2 linked regions of the Pelodiscus sinensis genome follow. The protein of the gene in region 1 purifies or fractionates together with the protein of each later gene. This does not show direct contact. Links are inferred from orthologs where the notes say so. Each region holds a gene or a part of one and is shown on either strand. Other genes may lie near its edges.

What was found. The genes of interacting proteins can lie anywhere in the genome.
Region 2: the proteins of YWHAE (region 1) and CEP170 purify together in Homo sapiens (affinity purification with mass spectrometry; 3 studies listed by BioGRID and IntAct, with this or other methods). This does not show direct contact. The link is inferred for Pelodiscus sinensis from reciprocal best matches to the Homo sapiens genes YWHAE and CEP170.

The regions. Positions count from the first base shown.
Region 1 is NC_134731.1:1,405,429-1,413,026, reverse strand, and holds the start of YWHAE (14-3-3 protein epsilon), read left to right. Parts: upstream 1-4,588; 5' UTR 4,589-4,713; coding exon 4,714-4,777; intron 4,778-7,598. UniProt on the Homo sapiens protein: Adapter protein implicated in the regulation of a large spectrum of both general and specialized signaling pathways. Binds to a large number of partners, usually by recognition of a phosphoserine or phosphothreonine motif.
Region 2 is NC_134713.1:131,575,514-131,583,440, forward strand, and holds the start of CEP170 (centrosomal protein of 170 kDa), read right to left. Parts: upstream 3,008-7,927; 5' UTR 2,868-3,007; intron 553-2,867; coding exon of another isoform or gene 498-552; exon of another isoform or gene 418-497; intron 306-417; exon of another isoform or gene 202-305; intron 152-201; exon of another isoform or gene 1-151. Other genes in the region: SDCCAG8 (serologically defined colon cancer antigen 8), read left to right, coding at 498-552.

The DNA of each region.
Region 1 (7,598 bases):
GCTTATTCCTCATGGGGAGAGGAATAACTTGTGCAAGTCTTCTTTCCCGATGCTGTACTGTGAATTTACTTGTGCAAGAATGCGCATGCAGTGTAGACGCTCTGCCGTCTTGTGCAAAAAGCCTGCAGTGTAGATGTAGCCATGGTCTAGGAAGCCAAAGTCCTGCTGGCAGCACCATCTTCACAGCCAGGCATTCACCTCCTGTATGCATTTCTCTCTGGGACCCTACCCTTGACTGGAAGGTTCAAAGAGAACACCATCTATTCCAAATTCCTTCACCCGTACTCCAAGGCTACGTCTAGACTGGCATGATTTTCCAGAAATGCTTTTAACGGAAAAGTTTTCTGTTAAAAGCATTTTCGGAACAGAGCGTCTAGATTGGCATGGATGCTTTTCTGCAAAAGCACTTTTTGTGGAAAAGCGTCCGTGCCAATCTAGATGCGCTTTTCCGCAAAAAAGTCCCGATCGCCATTTTCACGATCGTGGCTTTTTTGCAAAAAACAAATCTGAGCTGTCTACACTGGCCCTTTTGCGCAAAAGTTTTGCACAAAAGGACTTTTGCCCGAATGGGAGCAGTATAATATTTCCGCAAGGAGCACCGACAATCTTACATGAGATCGTCAGTGCTTTTGCGGAAATTCAAGCAGCCAGTGTAGACAGCTGGCAAGTTTTTCCGGAAAAATGGCTGATTTTCCAGAAAAACTGGCCAGTCTAGACACAGCCCAAGAGCACTGTAGTTACTTCTGACCTGCTGAGGATCACACCTCAGAGTATCACTAGGGTCCACCTTGAACAGTTCCTTACAATTTGGGTTCAATACTTATGGAAAACATCCTGTGCCCCCTTGTATTTAGCTATGACATGATGCTGTCATTTCCCACAATCCCTCCGGAACAGAAGAGTTCTGCAAGTTGCAGAGCAATAACCATGGTGGGGCAAACTGGGCACAAAGTCATGGGGGGCAGAAAAATTATGAAAAAAACCCCAAAAACTGGAAGAAGGCACAAACTGTCTTGCTTTCCCCAGGTGCTGAAATGCCTGGTGATACCTCTGGGAAGCTTGAAAACTCATCTCTCTGGTTGGGGGCCAGGTCTACCTTAGTGAGCTTACAGCTACACAGCTATACCGGGACAGGGCACTCTTCCAGCCACACGGCACCTTCTCCAATGAGCCCCAGGAGCTGTGTCTGCTGAAGATCACCTCTGGATGACATAGCTCTGTCCACGCGAGGGCTGCTGTCTGGGGAACTGATGTCACTCTGACAAAAGTGCCCGTATAGACACAGCCACTAACAGAAGTGGGTCCAATAAAAGAGATGTTCTCGCCCTCCTTGTCTTGGTAATTGTCAGTGAGTAGCACAGCCATTCCCAGCGCATAGAGCTCAGTCCAGGGCTACCACAAAATGCTATGGGGCAATAAACTGGCAGTCAGGACAAAAGCCTGGGTGTGTGGGCATAAACCAACAGTCAGAGTTTAGTGTAGCTACAGTGTCATGTAAAACCACAGCCTGATGCCAATGGCCCCTACCCCCTCCAGGCTCTGTGTGCCGGGGACCCTACCCCCTCCAGTCTCTCTGGGCTGGGCCCCCCACCACCTCCAGTCCCTGGGCCGGGCCCCCCGCCCCCTCCAGTCTCTCTGGGCCGGGCCCCCCACCACCTCCAGTCTCTGGGCTGGGCCCCCCGCCCCCTCCAGTCCCTGGGCTGGGCCCCCCGCCCCCTCCAGTCTCTCTGGGCCGGGGCCCCCCGCCCCCTCCAGTCTCTGGGCCGGGGCCCCCCGCCCCCTCCAGTCTCTGGGCCGGGCCCCCCGCCCCCTCCAGTCTCTGAGCCGGGCCCCCCGCCCCCTCCAGTCTCTGAGCCGGGCCCCCCGCCCCCTCCAGTCTCTCTGGGCCGGGCCCCCCGCCCTCTCCAGTCTCTCTGGGCCGGGCCCCCCGCCCCCTCCAGTCTCTCTGGGCCGGGCCCCCCGCCCCCTCCAGTCTCTCTGGGCCGAGCCCCCCGCCCCCTCCAGTCTCTGGGCCGGGCCCCCCGCCCCCTCCAGTCTCTGGGCCGGGCCCCCGCCCCCTCCAGTCTCTGGGCCGGGCCCCCCGCCCCCTCCAGTCTCTCTGGGCCGGGCCCCCCGCCCTCTCCAGTCTCTCTGGGCCGGGCCCCCCGCCCTCTCCAGTCTCTCTGGGCCGAGCCCCCCGCCCCCTCCAGTCTCTGAGCCGGGCCCCCCGCCCCCTCCAGTCTCTCTGGGCCGAGCCCCCCGCCCCCTCCAGTCTCTGAGCCGGGCCCCCCGCCCTCTCCAGTCTCTCTGGGCCGAGCCCCCCGCCCCCTCCAGTCTCTGAGCCGGGCCCCCCGCCCTCTCCAGTCTCTCTGGGCCGAGCCCCCCGCCCCCTCCAGTCTCTGAGCCGGGCCCCCCGCCCTCTCCAGTCTCTCTGGGCCGAGCCCCCCGCCCCCTCCAGTCTCTGGGCCGGGCCCCCCGCCCCCTCCAGTCTCTGGGCCGGGCCCCCCGCCCCCTCCAGTCTCTGGGCCGGGCCCCCGCCCCCTCCAGTCTCTCTGGGCCGGGCCCCCCGCCCCTCCAGTCTCTGGGCCGGGCCCCCCGCCCCCTCCAGTCTCTGGGCCGGGCCCCCCGCCCCCTCCAGTCTCTGGGCCGGGCCCCCCGCCCCCTCCAGTCTCTCTGGGCCGGGCCCCCCGCCCCCTCCAGTCTCTCTGGGCCGGGCCCCCCGCCCCCTCCAGTCTCTCTGGGCCGGGCCCCCGCCCCCTCCAGTCTCTCTGGGCCGGGCCCCCCGCCCCTCCAGTCTCTCTGGGCCGGGCCCCCCGCCCCCTCCAGTCTCTGGGCCGGGCCCCCCGCCCCCTCCAGTCTCTCTGGGCCGGGCCCCCCGCCCCTCCAGTCTCTCTGGGCCGGGCCCCCCGCCCCCTCCAGTCTCTGGGCCGGGCCCCCCGCCCCCTCCAGTCTCTGGGCCGGGCCCCCGCCCCCTCCAGTCTCTGGGCCGGGCCCCCCGCCCCCTCCAGTCTCTGGGCCGGGCCCCCCGCCCCCTCCAGTCCCTGGGCCGGGCCCCCCGCCCCCTCCAGTCTCTGGGCAGGGCCCCCCGCCCCCTCCAGTCCCTGGGCCGGGCCCCCCGCCCCCTCCAGTCCCTGGGCCGGGCCCCCCGCCCCCTCCAGTCTCTGGGCCGGGCCCCCGCCCCCTCCAGTCCCTGGGCCGGGCCCCCCGCCCCCTCCAGTCTCTGAGCCGGGCCCCCCGCCCCCTCCAGTCCCTGGGCCGGGCCCCCCGCCCTCTCCAGTCTCTGGGCCGGGCCCCCGCCCCCTCCAGTCTCTGAGCCGGGCCCACCGCCCCTCCAGTCCCTGGGCCGGGCCCCCCGCCCCCTCCAGTCTCTGGGCCGGGCCCCCCGCCCCCTCCAGTCTCTGGGCCGGGCCCCCCGCCCCCTCCAGTCTCTGTGGGCCGGGCTCCCCGCCCCCTCCAGTCTCTGTGGGCCGGGCCCCCGCCCCCTCCAGTCTCTCTGGGCCGGGCTCCCCGCCCCCTCCAGTCTCTGTGGGCCGGGCCCCCCCGCCCCCTCCAGTCTCTGGGCCGGGCCCCCGCCCCCTCCAGTCTCTGGGCCGGGCCCCCCGCCCCCTCCAGTCTCTGGGCCGGGCCCCCGCCCCCTCCAGTCTCTGAGCCGGGCCCCCCGCCCCCTCCAGTCTCTGGGCCGGGCCCCCGCCCCCTCCAGTCTCTGAGCCGGGCCCCCCGCCCCCTCCAGTCTCTGGGCCGGGCCCCCGCCCCCTCCAGTCTCTGGGCCGGGCCCCCCGCCCCCTCCAGTCTCTCTGGGCCGGGCTCCCCGCCCCCTCCAGTCTCTCTGGGCCGGGCTCCCCGCCCCCTCCAGTCTCTGGGCCGGGCCCCCGCCCCCTCCAGTCTCTGGGCCGGGCCCCCCGCCCCCTCCAGTCTCTGGGCCGGGCCCCCGCCCCCTCCAGTCTCTGAGCCGGGCCCCCCGCCCCCTCCAGTCTCTGGGCCGGGCCCCCCGCCCCCTCCCGTCTCTGAGCCGGGCCCCCCGCCCCCTCCAGTCTCTGGGCCGGGCCCCCGCCCCCTCCAGTCTCTGGGCCGGGCCCCCGCCCCCTCCCGTCTCTGAGCCGGGCCCCCCGCCCCCTCCAGTCTCTGGGCCGGGCCCCCGCCCCCTCCAGTCTCTGGGCCGGGCCCCCCGCCCCCTCCAGTCTCTCTGGGCCGGGCTCCCCGCCCCCTCCAGTCTCTGGGCCGGGCCCCCCGCCCCCTCCAGTCTCTGGGCCGGGCCCCCGCCCCCTCCAGTCTCTGGGCCGGGCCCCCGCCCCCTCCAGTCTCTGGGCCGGGCCCCCCGCCCCCTCCAGTCTCTGGGCCAGGCCCCCGCCCCCTCCAGTCTCTGGGCCGGGCCCCCCGCCCCCTCCAGTCTCTGGGCCGGGCCCCCGCCCACATTACAGGGCCCCGAGGGGCCATCCGCCCCCATTTCCCAGGCGCCCCACGAGCCGCCCATCGCCCCCCAGCCAGGCGCGGCCGGGCAGCAGCCAGGGCCCCACCCCTGAGCCTCTCCTCGCGCCGGTTGCCAGGGAGCCGCTGTTGCCATGGCGGGGCGGCCGAGGCGCATGCGCGCGCTGGCGGAAGTGCCCGGATATAGCAGGAGGAGGCGCTCCCGCCGCCATCTTTGCCCGTAGCACAGAGAGCTGGTCGCGGCGGAGCATCCCGGACTCATCCGCCTCCATCCAGCCCGCGCCGCCCCCGCCGCCGCGTCTCTCGGACATGGACGATCGGGAGGACCTCGTGTACCAGGCCAAGCTGGCCGAGCAGGCTGAGCGCTACGATGGTGAGCGCCGGCCGGGCGGGCGCCGGGGAGGGCCGGGGGAGAAGGGAGGGAGCGGTCACAAAATGGCGGCGGCTGGGCAGGGGGGCAGAGGCGGCCGGGGGGGGTACGAACAAAATGGCGCCTGGGGTGGCCCCGCGGGGGCGAGGCAGCCGGCAGGGGGGCGCAGGGCCGAGGGGGCCTCGCCCGGGGGGGTCAAGGCGCGGCGGCGGCGGGGAGCCGGAGTAAAATGGTGGCTGGGAAGGGCGATCCCGGGGGTGGGGCAGGGGAGCCGCCCCCTCGCGGGCGCCCGACCCCCCCCCCCGCGCCCTTTCTCGTGCCCGCCAGCGCGGGCGGGGTGGCCCCTCCCCACGGAGCCCTGCCCAGCAGCGGGCCCAGAGGGAGGGTCCGGCCTGGGGGGGCCGGGTCACGTCGCCGCAGTCAATCTCCAGCCACCCCGCTGCGTGTGAAAGGGGGGCCTGGCCCCTAGGGGGGCCCTTCTGCGCCTCCTTCCCAGGCCTGGCCTCCTGGGCGCGCCTCCGTGTTCTGCCTGCCCTAGGCTGGCACTGTGGCTCTTTAGGGTACGGACCCTTCGGTCTCTTAGCTCTCCCGGCACAGGCCAGACTCAGGTACGTGCATCTTATTAGCCTTAGGCTTCAAATGATCGTGAATGGGAATATCAGGCTTTTTGAAGAGTCGGGGGGGTTTCTTTAAAGTTCATGGGCTGTGCTGATTTACATATTTGTAGGGAGTTCAATATCCCTGAGCATTGAGGTGGTTCTTTCTGAATGAACAGTAGGGTAATATATGCAATTGTCAGGGTCTGACACAATCTGCTTGTCATGCCACACCCTTGCTACTTATTTAAAACTAAATTAGATTCCTAACTGTTATGCTTGCCAATAAAACAAACTGAATGGGACTGTGGTGTAAACCTATGGGATACTGGCCTCCTGAGCTGTCATCAGTCCATTCCCCTGCATCAGTTGCTGGTCCTGTCTTTCCCAAGTGACAAGATAAAAAATGATCAGGATCTTTCTTACCATTACTGTTCAGAGCACCCCTGGAGGCAGTAAAACTGACAAGAATTAGGTCAGCTTTTCTCTGGAGTGGCTACCATTAGTAATGTGCCAACACTGAAGAAATATATATATTGGGGGGGGGGGGGCACAAAATGGAGCCCCTAAGAAGAAATACAAATAAATGCTGTCCTTTGGAATAGCCATGAGTCTGGGGAAGTGTTAGAGCAGTGGCTCTCAACTAGAGGCCCATGTACCCTTGTGGGAGAGGGGTGTACATAGGGGTCTTCCATGGGCGCCTCAACTGATCTAAATATTTGCCTAGTTTTTATGTAACCAGTTGTAAGGGTACTAGCAAAGTCTGTACAAACTAAAAGTCACACAGTGACTGGCTTGCTTTAGCTACTGTACACCAGAGAGGTAAGTGTAATGGTTATATTCCAGCTAACTCATAACATGTAAAAATGAGAACAGTTTTTGAGTAATGACATGCTAGGACACTGTATTCTTGTGCCTCATTATTTGTAAAGCAAGTCACTTTTAAGTGAGGTGAAACTTCAGGGTATGCAAGACACAGCAGATGCCTGAAAGGGATTCAGTAGTCTGGAATGGTTGAGAGCTACTGTGATACAGTAATTCAGAATTCACATATTTTTTCCCAGTACAGTCAGTCCCCGGGTTAACGTACAAGATAAGGACTGTAGGTTTGTTCTTAAGTTGAATTTGTATGTAAGTTGGAACTGGTACAAATTGTAGGGGAAACTCTAGCCAAACATTTCTCCAGAGCTCAGTTTTATTCTCCCACACCTCACTTCCCTCAGTCCTTTATTCTCAAGCTGAGGTGTCTGCTGAGAAAAGCCGCTCCGGGTCTCCCTGGTCTGCTGGGGGGGGGGGGGGGGCGCTAGCTTCGAGTCTCCCTGGTCTGCTGGGGGGAAAGAGCTAGTGCAGGGTTGCCTCACCCCGTTTGTAAGTAGGGATCCGATGTAAGTCGGATCCATGTAACCCGGGGACTGCCTGTAGCTGGAGAGGGGTTTAAAACATATTGGCTCTCTGCTAGACCATGGCTGTGCCATACGACTTACTTGTCAATGCTAGGTTTCCTGGTATATTAGCAAATTGTAGTTTAGATGCAGCTTATGTTGGCAAAAACACTTTTTCCTGGTATAACCACATCAACGTAAGGGTTTTTGATGGCATATCTGTGGTGACTGGCGATGCTGGGAAAACTTACAAGAAGACAAGGCCCAATTTTGAGCCCCCGTGCAGGGTCTAAACAGCATTGTGATAGGCATTCTAGCATGTTTCTGTGGGGGGAGGTGGCTGTTTTTTAGGAAGATGTATGCATCTGCATAGCATTCCCATGGTATTTCTTCTTAGTGCCTGGTAATTTTTCAAATTCTGTTATGACAAGGGAGGGAAACAGTTTTTGATGGTGGGGGCATTCCAAGGTTTTGGAAGTGGTCAAGGGTCGCACTTGTGTGTGGAAGAGGTGTGGGGCTTGGGACTGAGGTTGGGTGCAGAAGGGAGCTCGGGGTTACAGTATAGGTGAAGAGAGGGTGTGGGGTCTGAGAAGGAGTTTGGGTGAAGGAGGAGGTTGTGACATGGGGCAGGGCATTGGGGTGTGGGAGAGTGGGGTGTCGGATGTAGGCTCTGGCTGGGAGACACTTACCTAGGGATCTCCCAGCCAGCAGCAGCTTTGGGCAGGCTTCCTGCCTGATGGTCCTAGTGGGGTGGGCTGGCAGTCTTGCCTGCTTCTGTAGTCTAGGCATCTGTAGTGTGAAGCAGCCAGTTCTCATGATGATTAGGATATTAATTTGTTGGATTTG
Region 2 (7,927 bases), on another chromosome or scaffold:
CGATCTGACCGCATACAAAGGGAAAGAGACCGAGGCCGCAACAACTCTTCTAAAGTGGGGGAGGACGTTGCTCGTAGGGACTTCAACTCCCGAGGGCCCAGAGAAGGACGCGCGCTGCATGCTGGGAGACGTAGTCTGAGACCGCTGCAACGTGAGTACGAGACGTATTAAAGGGCGGAGCTCTGAAAGGGAGTAACTCACCTCAGCTGGGGGCCGACGGGACCGTTTTCCTAGTTGGTTAGCAACGAGCTCCCACACGGGTTGAGGTTAGAAGGGGCGGTGGGTGCCGCAAAGCCGTGTGGGAATCGTAGTTCCGCTAAGAGCTGCCGCCCGCTGTGGGGGATGGGACGGCGAACGACACGGAACTACGGCTCCCGAGCGCTGTTGGAAGCGGCGAAGCCGGGAGGGAAAGGCTGGGTCCTCACACGCTGACTCGGGACAGGGAAGCGGAGCCCGTGCGGTGTCGCCTGGCGCTGAGAGACGCGGACCTTGTCCGTATGCGGGAAGCCCGGGAAGAGTCCGACCTGGAGCGGTATCAGAAAAGCCTGCGAGGTGAGCGGGATCCCCGTCCCAGCGCCGCCTGCCCCCTTCTTCTGGCAGTGCCAGCTCCCCGCGAGCTGAGTGGTTTCTCGCCGTGCCCACTGTCCCCCACTACTGGCTGCCCCAGCTCCTCTCGCCGCACGGCCCGCCTGGCTGCTGGCACCGTGGCCACTAGTGTGCGTGCGACCCCTTTTCTTGCCGCTGCCCCACCGCCACAATTGGCTACGTGGCTTCTTTGCCTGAGGCTGCGCCGTTTTCTCCACCTCTCTGCTCACCACGTCTGCTAAAAATTGAACTGGAGAAGGGTAGACTGGTGCCGACACCCCTTTATACTGTTCTAACCATCCCAGCCTGTTGAGCCAAGTGAACCAGATTATGATCTCCCCGGTGACTGAACCCGTTGCTGTCAGAACTCTACCCACCCTGTGCCCCTAGCACCAAACTTCCACCCCGGTCCCCCTTACTCTCTAATTTTGGCAAAGAGAGCTCTAAATCAGCTGTTTACCTGACAGCTTCTCCCCTGGAGGGGGGAAGAGGAGAGAGAATGAAGGGAAGGGAACCTAGAGGGGCAGGAAGAGGGTATGTGGGGGCTCCCCATGTAGCCTTGCCCCATGTAGCCATTACAATTTTGGCTGGGAACATGGGGGGGGGGGGGTAGTGCATCTTCAGAGCACTACCTGTGGCTTTTCCTTTTCCCTTCCCTCCCTCCCCCCCCACTATAGAAGCTCTAGTAGCACCAAACCCCAGACCAAAGTCATAGTTGACAGTAAATTCACCAGTGCATTTGCTCTCACTTGCTAAGGAGCCTTGACAACCTGAGCATCTGCACTGTATGAGGCACAGAGTCACTGCAATATGACCCAGCTGTAGCCGAGGACCCCATTTTAATAGGGTCTCCATGCTGGCATTCAACATGTTGGGACTCAGGGCCGAAGCTAAGCCTGAGCCCCCTGCCCAGAGCTGAAACTTTTGGAGAAGCCCCTGTCCGTGGCAGTCCCCCCACAACCACAGTGGGTCCGGAGCAGCCCACTATTCCAGCCCCACCAGTTAACTGGTTAAGCCTAGACATGTCAATGAGTAGTTGACTATAGAATTAATTGATAAGCCTAGGCTTTTCAGTTCATCTTGACTACTCACATTCTCTCCCTCCCCCACTGCCTCTATCACAGGCAGCTGGGGTGGAGAGCTAGCTTGAAAGCCAGTCCCACCCTCCAGCACCAGCTCTGCGATGCCACCTTCCCCTTACCACTCCCCCTCCCCCATGTGCTGCTGCCTGAGACACAGCGGCATAAGGGAATAGGGGAGGCTGCTGTGAAGGAGCCCCTGTCCACAGGGGGATGGAGGCTGCTCTGCGTTCCGCGAAGCAGCTTCTGTCTGCAGCGGCCCAAGGTGGCTGTGGACAGAGGCTGCTTTATGGCAGCAGCCCACGTCCACAGGGAGCTTGGAAAGGGGCTGCTGCTGGACCAGCCTCTGGCCAGCTGACTGCCACAGACAAGTTGCTTCATGGTAGCCTCCTTTTCAGTTCCTAGCCTCTCTTCTCCCCCTCCCCCCTGCAGCAGCCTCTGTCCACTGAGAGGTTGGACCCCCGAAGTCAGGGACTACTGCTGTGTTATCCTATGCTACTGCCTTTGATACGGAGGCAGCAGCGCATGGTGGCAGGGGGCTCCCAGGAGCCACCCCTCAGGACTATAGAATAGATCTAACCAAAAAGTTTATGTTGTTACACAGCTATTCAATTACCCAATATCTAACCTCCCTTGTTAAACCTTCACATAACCCAGCTTGTGAGCTGTGACTGAGCCAGGCTGCCTGCCTGCCAGCCCAGCGCCTAATACATTTTAAACACAGAGTTGCAGTGAGGTAGGTCCCAGACACTGCAAGCTGGGACTGAGCACGGCTGCTGGCTAGCCCACTAAAAAAAAAAAAAAAAAGTACTGGCAGAAGGGGGAGGTAGGGGAAGTGCATGTAATCCATAGCATTAACCAATGAGCTTTTGCTTATCGGTTAATTACACCATTACTTCCCTAGTCGCACTTTTTTGGGCCTACCTGCTGGAACCCACAGCATCTCCTCTTGATATGCGTGGTAGGCATGGATCCTCAAGTTGGTAGGGAAAATAAGGAGAGAATGTGGAAACGGTTTGTGGTCCCACCCATGGATTTAAGGCGCTCACTCAGGAGAGGCTGGCACTTGCCCCAGCAGCAGCAACTAGGGTCTGGTGGTGCTGAAACGAACCCTGTGGTAGGGTCAGTCCTACTTCGGGCTCCCAGGCCCCTGTTCTGCCCATTATCCTACAGTTTAGTGGACATGGTACAAGTCCCACTTGCCTTTTCTGAGCATTTGGCCTTCTGTCCTTTGGCAAAACAAAGGGGTGTTGAGGCCGATGCCCTCAGCCAGTCAGGCTGAGTAAACAGTCCTCCTCAGCCACCAACTGAAGTTTCTGGCCATCTAGAAGGAAGGAAGCTTCCAAACACTCCCTGTTGGAGCCTGCCACCTCCTCCTGCAGCCCTTAGCAGTGTTGATGGTGTTCTGCTCAGCTCCTCTGATTTGCCTATCAGCTGTTAGCTCCTTTCCACCTCCACTCTCCAAACTTTTTCTCCACTCTCTTCCACCCTCCCTCACAGGAAAGGTTTTTAAAGAGGTCCTGTGGCAGCCTGAAATCAGTTCACCTGCCCCTTAATTGATTTAGAGCAGCCCTGTCTCAGCTGCCCCTGATTATCCAGGGCTGTTGCTTATTTCCCCCCCCCCCAGCTGCCTCTCCCCCCTTCCATCAAGCCCTTGTACAAACATAGGCAGCAGCATGGGGTGGCAGCCCAGGGAGTGGGGCTAGAACACACTGGCTGCTGGCACTGCCCCTGGAACTATAGGATAGTTGACTAAGACTTCATGGGGTTAGTCAACTATTCTGTTACCTGCTATCTAACATCCCTGGTACTGGGCCCTCTTTCTCCACTGTATGAATGTGCTTGTACTGGTAAAGCTTACTGCCATATGGGAAGGCAATTAAGCTAAAATGGTATAAGGTACAGTAAAACTCCAGGGCTACGTCTACACTGGCCCCTTTTCCGGAAGGGGCATGTTAATTTCAGCTGTCGTAATAGGGAAATCCGCGGGGGATTTAAATATCCCCCGTGGCATTTAAATAAAAATGTCCGCCGCTTTTTTCCGGCTTTTAGAAAAGCCGGAAAAGAGCGTTTACACTGGCCCCGATCCTCCGGAAAAAAAGCCCTTTTCCGGAGGATCTTATTCCTACTTTGAAGTAGGAATAAGATCCTCCGGAAAAGGGCGCTTTTTCCGGAGGATCGGGGCCAGTGTAGACGCTCTTTTCCGGCTTTTCTAAAAGCCGGAAAAAAGCGGCGGACATTTTTATTTAAATGCCACGGGGGATATTTAAATCCCCCGCGCATTTCCCTATTGCGATTTCAAAAATTACCATGTCCCTTCTGGAAAAGGGGCCAATGTAGACATAGCCCAGGGCTGTGTCTAGACTGGCAAGTTTTTCCGGAAAATCAGCAGCTTTTCCGGAAAAACTTGCCAGCTGTCTACACTGGCCGCTTGAATTTCTGGAAAAGCACTGACGATCTCATGTAAGATCGTCAGTGCTTTCCCGGAAATACTATGCTGCTCCCGTTCGGGCAAAAGTCTTTTTCCGAAAGACTTTTGCGCAAAAGGGCCAGTGTAGACAGCACAGTACTGTTTTCCGCAAAAAAGCCCCGATCGCGAAAATGGCGATCGGGGCTTTTTTGCGGAAAAGCGCGTCTAGATTGGCCACGGATGCTTTTCCGCAAAAAGTGGCAGGATGCTTTTCTGCGAAAGCAATCTAGATGCACTTTTCCAAAAATGCTTTTAACGGAAAACTTTTCCGTTAAAAGCATTTTTGGAAAATCATGGCAGTGTAGACTTAGTCCGGCATCGCATTGTATGGCGCTCCCGATAGTCTTACATCAAAATGAGAAGAGCCTAGTGAGTGATCTTCGGCAAAAAACAAGTCACAAGGCAGCAGCGGCAGCAGCTGAACCGAGCAAAACCGGACGGGACTGAATCAGTCTGCCACTGGTATTGTGTGATGCTGAACAGTGCTTGTGCTACAATAAAAAGGGTTAAAAACACTTTATATACAGTATATACTGTGTGTATATATATAACCATCTTATAGTACCTCCTGAGAGTCCGGGATATCTGATAATCCGGCACCACCTAGGTCCCAAAGGTTCCGGATTATCGGAAGTCTACTATATCTTGATATAGATTGGACTTCACTGGTCTGGCACCCTCGGGACTTGACTGGCCCCAAGCAAGGGGATTTGATGGAACAGAGAATATCACCCCCCTCATGGCCTGTGTTGCCACTGGGCTAGGTGCTACCCCACCCTGGAACTCTCTAGATGACAGGGGGTGAGGTGCTGGAGTTATTTTTTCATACTAGCATTTAAAATGAGGAATGTTGAAATCAAAAGAAAATGATCTGTTTGATGCAGCATTTAAACTTGAATTTGTTGAATATGCAAAGGAAACAATAATTGTGCTGCTATTCAAAAATTCTGCATCAATGAGAAGCAGGTAGGAGAATGGTGAAAAAATAAAGCAACACTAAAAAACATACCAAGAAGCAAGAAAAAATGTCCAACAAGGTTTGCTTCATTTCTTGGGCTGGAAAAGTCGCAACGATTGGGTTGTTGAATGATGACAAAATGCGTACCTTGTCACTAGAACTGGAATTTGTCTGTGTGCTCTCCAAATGTCAAAAGATGACACACGAGTCAGAAAAGCCATAGGTGTTTGTCACATCAACAGTTTGGCATACTAGCTTCGTGAACTGTCAAGGTCTCTATCTTCAGCAATAAACAAAGATAGCACAAAAGCTGCTGAGAGACCAGGAAGAAAAAAATTGAATCTTTCCGAAGATTTATTATAAAATATCAAAAGGAATATGAATCGGAGTTGTCACAAATAGGAAATATGGATGAAACATTGATGACATTTGATCTTCTGAGCAAAAGAAGAGTAACTAGTGTTGGTGAAAAAACAGTCTTAATTAAAACCACTGGCCATGAAAAATAATCCATTTTTACAGTAGTTTTATCATATATGGCCAATGGATTAAGGCTCTATTCTGTTTCTTGAAAAGAAAAACCTTGTCCAAAACGATGACATTTCATGGGGGTATCCTCATATGTGCACATGTGAAGGGATGGATGGATGAAAGTGGTACTATTGACTGTTTGGAAAAAGTGTTCAGTGATGAGAAACATTTCTCTAGAAACCTTCTATGCTTGTATGGGACATGTTCAGGGCACATAGGTTGGATAAGGTGAAGCATGTGACCAAAAAAATGAAAATTACTTGAACTGTAATACCTGCAGGTCTAACTTCTGTTCTACAATCCCTTAATGTCTGCCTGAACAATCCCTTTAAAGACCGGCTATGCAAAATGTGATCTGACTGGATGTGGTCAGGCATGGTGAAATTGACAAAAGGCGGAAATCTTATCTAGCCCAAAATTAATCTGGTTGCCCAGTGGTCAAGGATGCGTGGGAGTCCATTCTCTTAGAAATTATAGAAAAATCATTTTGGAAACGCTGCATCAGCCATATGCTTGATGGGTCAGAAGACAGTACCACATTCGCTCGTGACACAATGGAGGCTGATAAGCAATCAGGATGACATTGCTGATGACAATGCAGGAGCAGCTATGACTGAAGCTGAGTTTAATGAACTGTTTGGTAAATTGGAGACTGATTCAGAGTTTGAAAGGTTTTACAACTTTAAATGCATTAGAATATGAGATTTTAAAACATTTCTTCGAAATTAGTCCATATGAGTTCATATATGTTCAATTATTATACTTTTTTTGGTTAGATGCATTAAAATAAAAGTTCTAAAACTTATGTTTCGATTCTGACTTTTAAAATACAGGAGAAGAGGTCAGTTCCCAGCCCAGCAGGGCAAACTGTTGGCCTGTTGAGACATTTGTGTACTTGGAGCATCTGCAGGCATGGAACCTCTCAGCTCCCATTGGTTGCTGTTTGCCATTCACAGCCAATGGGTACTGCAGGAAGCAGTGTGGGCCAAGGAATGGTCTGGCAGTCATTCCCGTTGACCCAGAACAGCTAACAGCCAGAGGGAGCTGAGGAGCTCTGTTCCTGCAGATGCTCCAGGTATGTAAAACATGCTAGCGTGCCAGTGGCTTGCCCTGTTGGGCTGGAAACTGAGGTTTGCCAATCCCTCCCCCCAGTTAAAAAAAATAAAATAAAATAAAGTAGTAGCACAGATGACCCACCGCTCTTTATGGTGTGATTTTTTTTTTAACAAAAAAAATTGACTTATGATCGAGTACATAGGGTACATTATACATTTTCACCTCCTATGAAGTGTTTTTATTCTAATTTCTTTCTGATTCATTTTTAAATTTTACTTGTTTCCATCTTTTGATTTGGGGATGTAAAATCCCATTTATTTATCTGCTTAAATGTTATGTTTAACCAGTTAATGGATTAAATGGGGGCAGGTGCGTGTGTGTGGTGGGGGGGGGGCACCCATCTCGGGCGGGAGCTGCTCCATCTAGGCTGGAGCACCCCTGCCCACCGCAGGCTCTGTGGGGATGAACCAGCCCACAGTGACAGGGGGCTATTCCAGCCCCCATTGGATAACCATAATTGGTAAGCATTGCCTGGTAAGGATGTAGCTTACCACCACTTAACTATTCACGTACGTAGTATTAAATAGTAGTTCCATGTAAAGTTCACCCAACAGTTACAGCAGCTAAAATAACGTGATAGTCATTTCAAACAGTTTAGTTATCAAAAATTAAGAGCATGAGTTCAGTTAGTTTCAGCTGACCAATTAAGCACTCTGCTCTCTGTGGTGTGAGGTGTGGGAAGGAATAAAGATTATATTGGAAAACTAAAAGTCCTCTTCTAGGTGCTGGTCAAGAAAATAATTAAAAAAGGAATGGTTTGTAACCTGAAAAAGGTGATACAGTATCTTGAAATAATGAAGTGTTAACTTATTTAAAATAAATGTTTGAAGTTGTATTTTAATATAGGAAATCTATGAAGTTGTTCATGGTAGTAAGTATTTTTAGATATAAGTCCATAATTAGTACCTGAAGTGTTGTCACCTCTAGGAATTTTAGTTATCAATCAAACCAGGATGGATTTGATTTAAATAAAATTGATTTAAATCATTAGTCAGGAAGATTTGATATGATCATGGGTTCTCTACATACAAGTGTGTCCTTGTTGGTTGCTATAATCTTAATAGATATTCTTCACAACTCAGATATAGGTTTCAAGTTTAGAGGTACACATACATTTTAAAATAGTGTTTTATAAGGCTATCAATTGATGTGTTAATTCCTGCAATTAATGCAGTCAAGGATTAACAA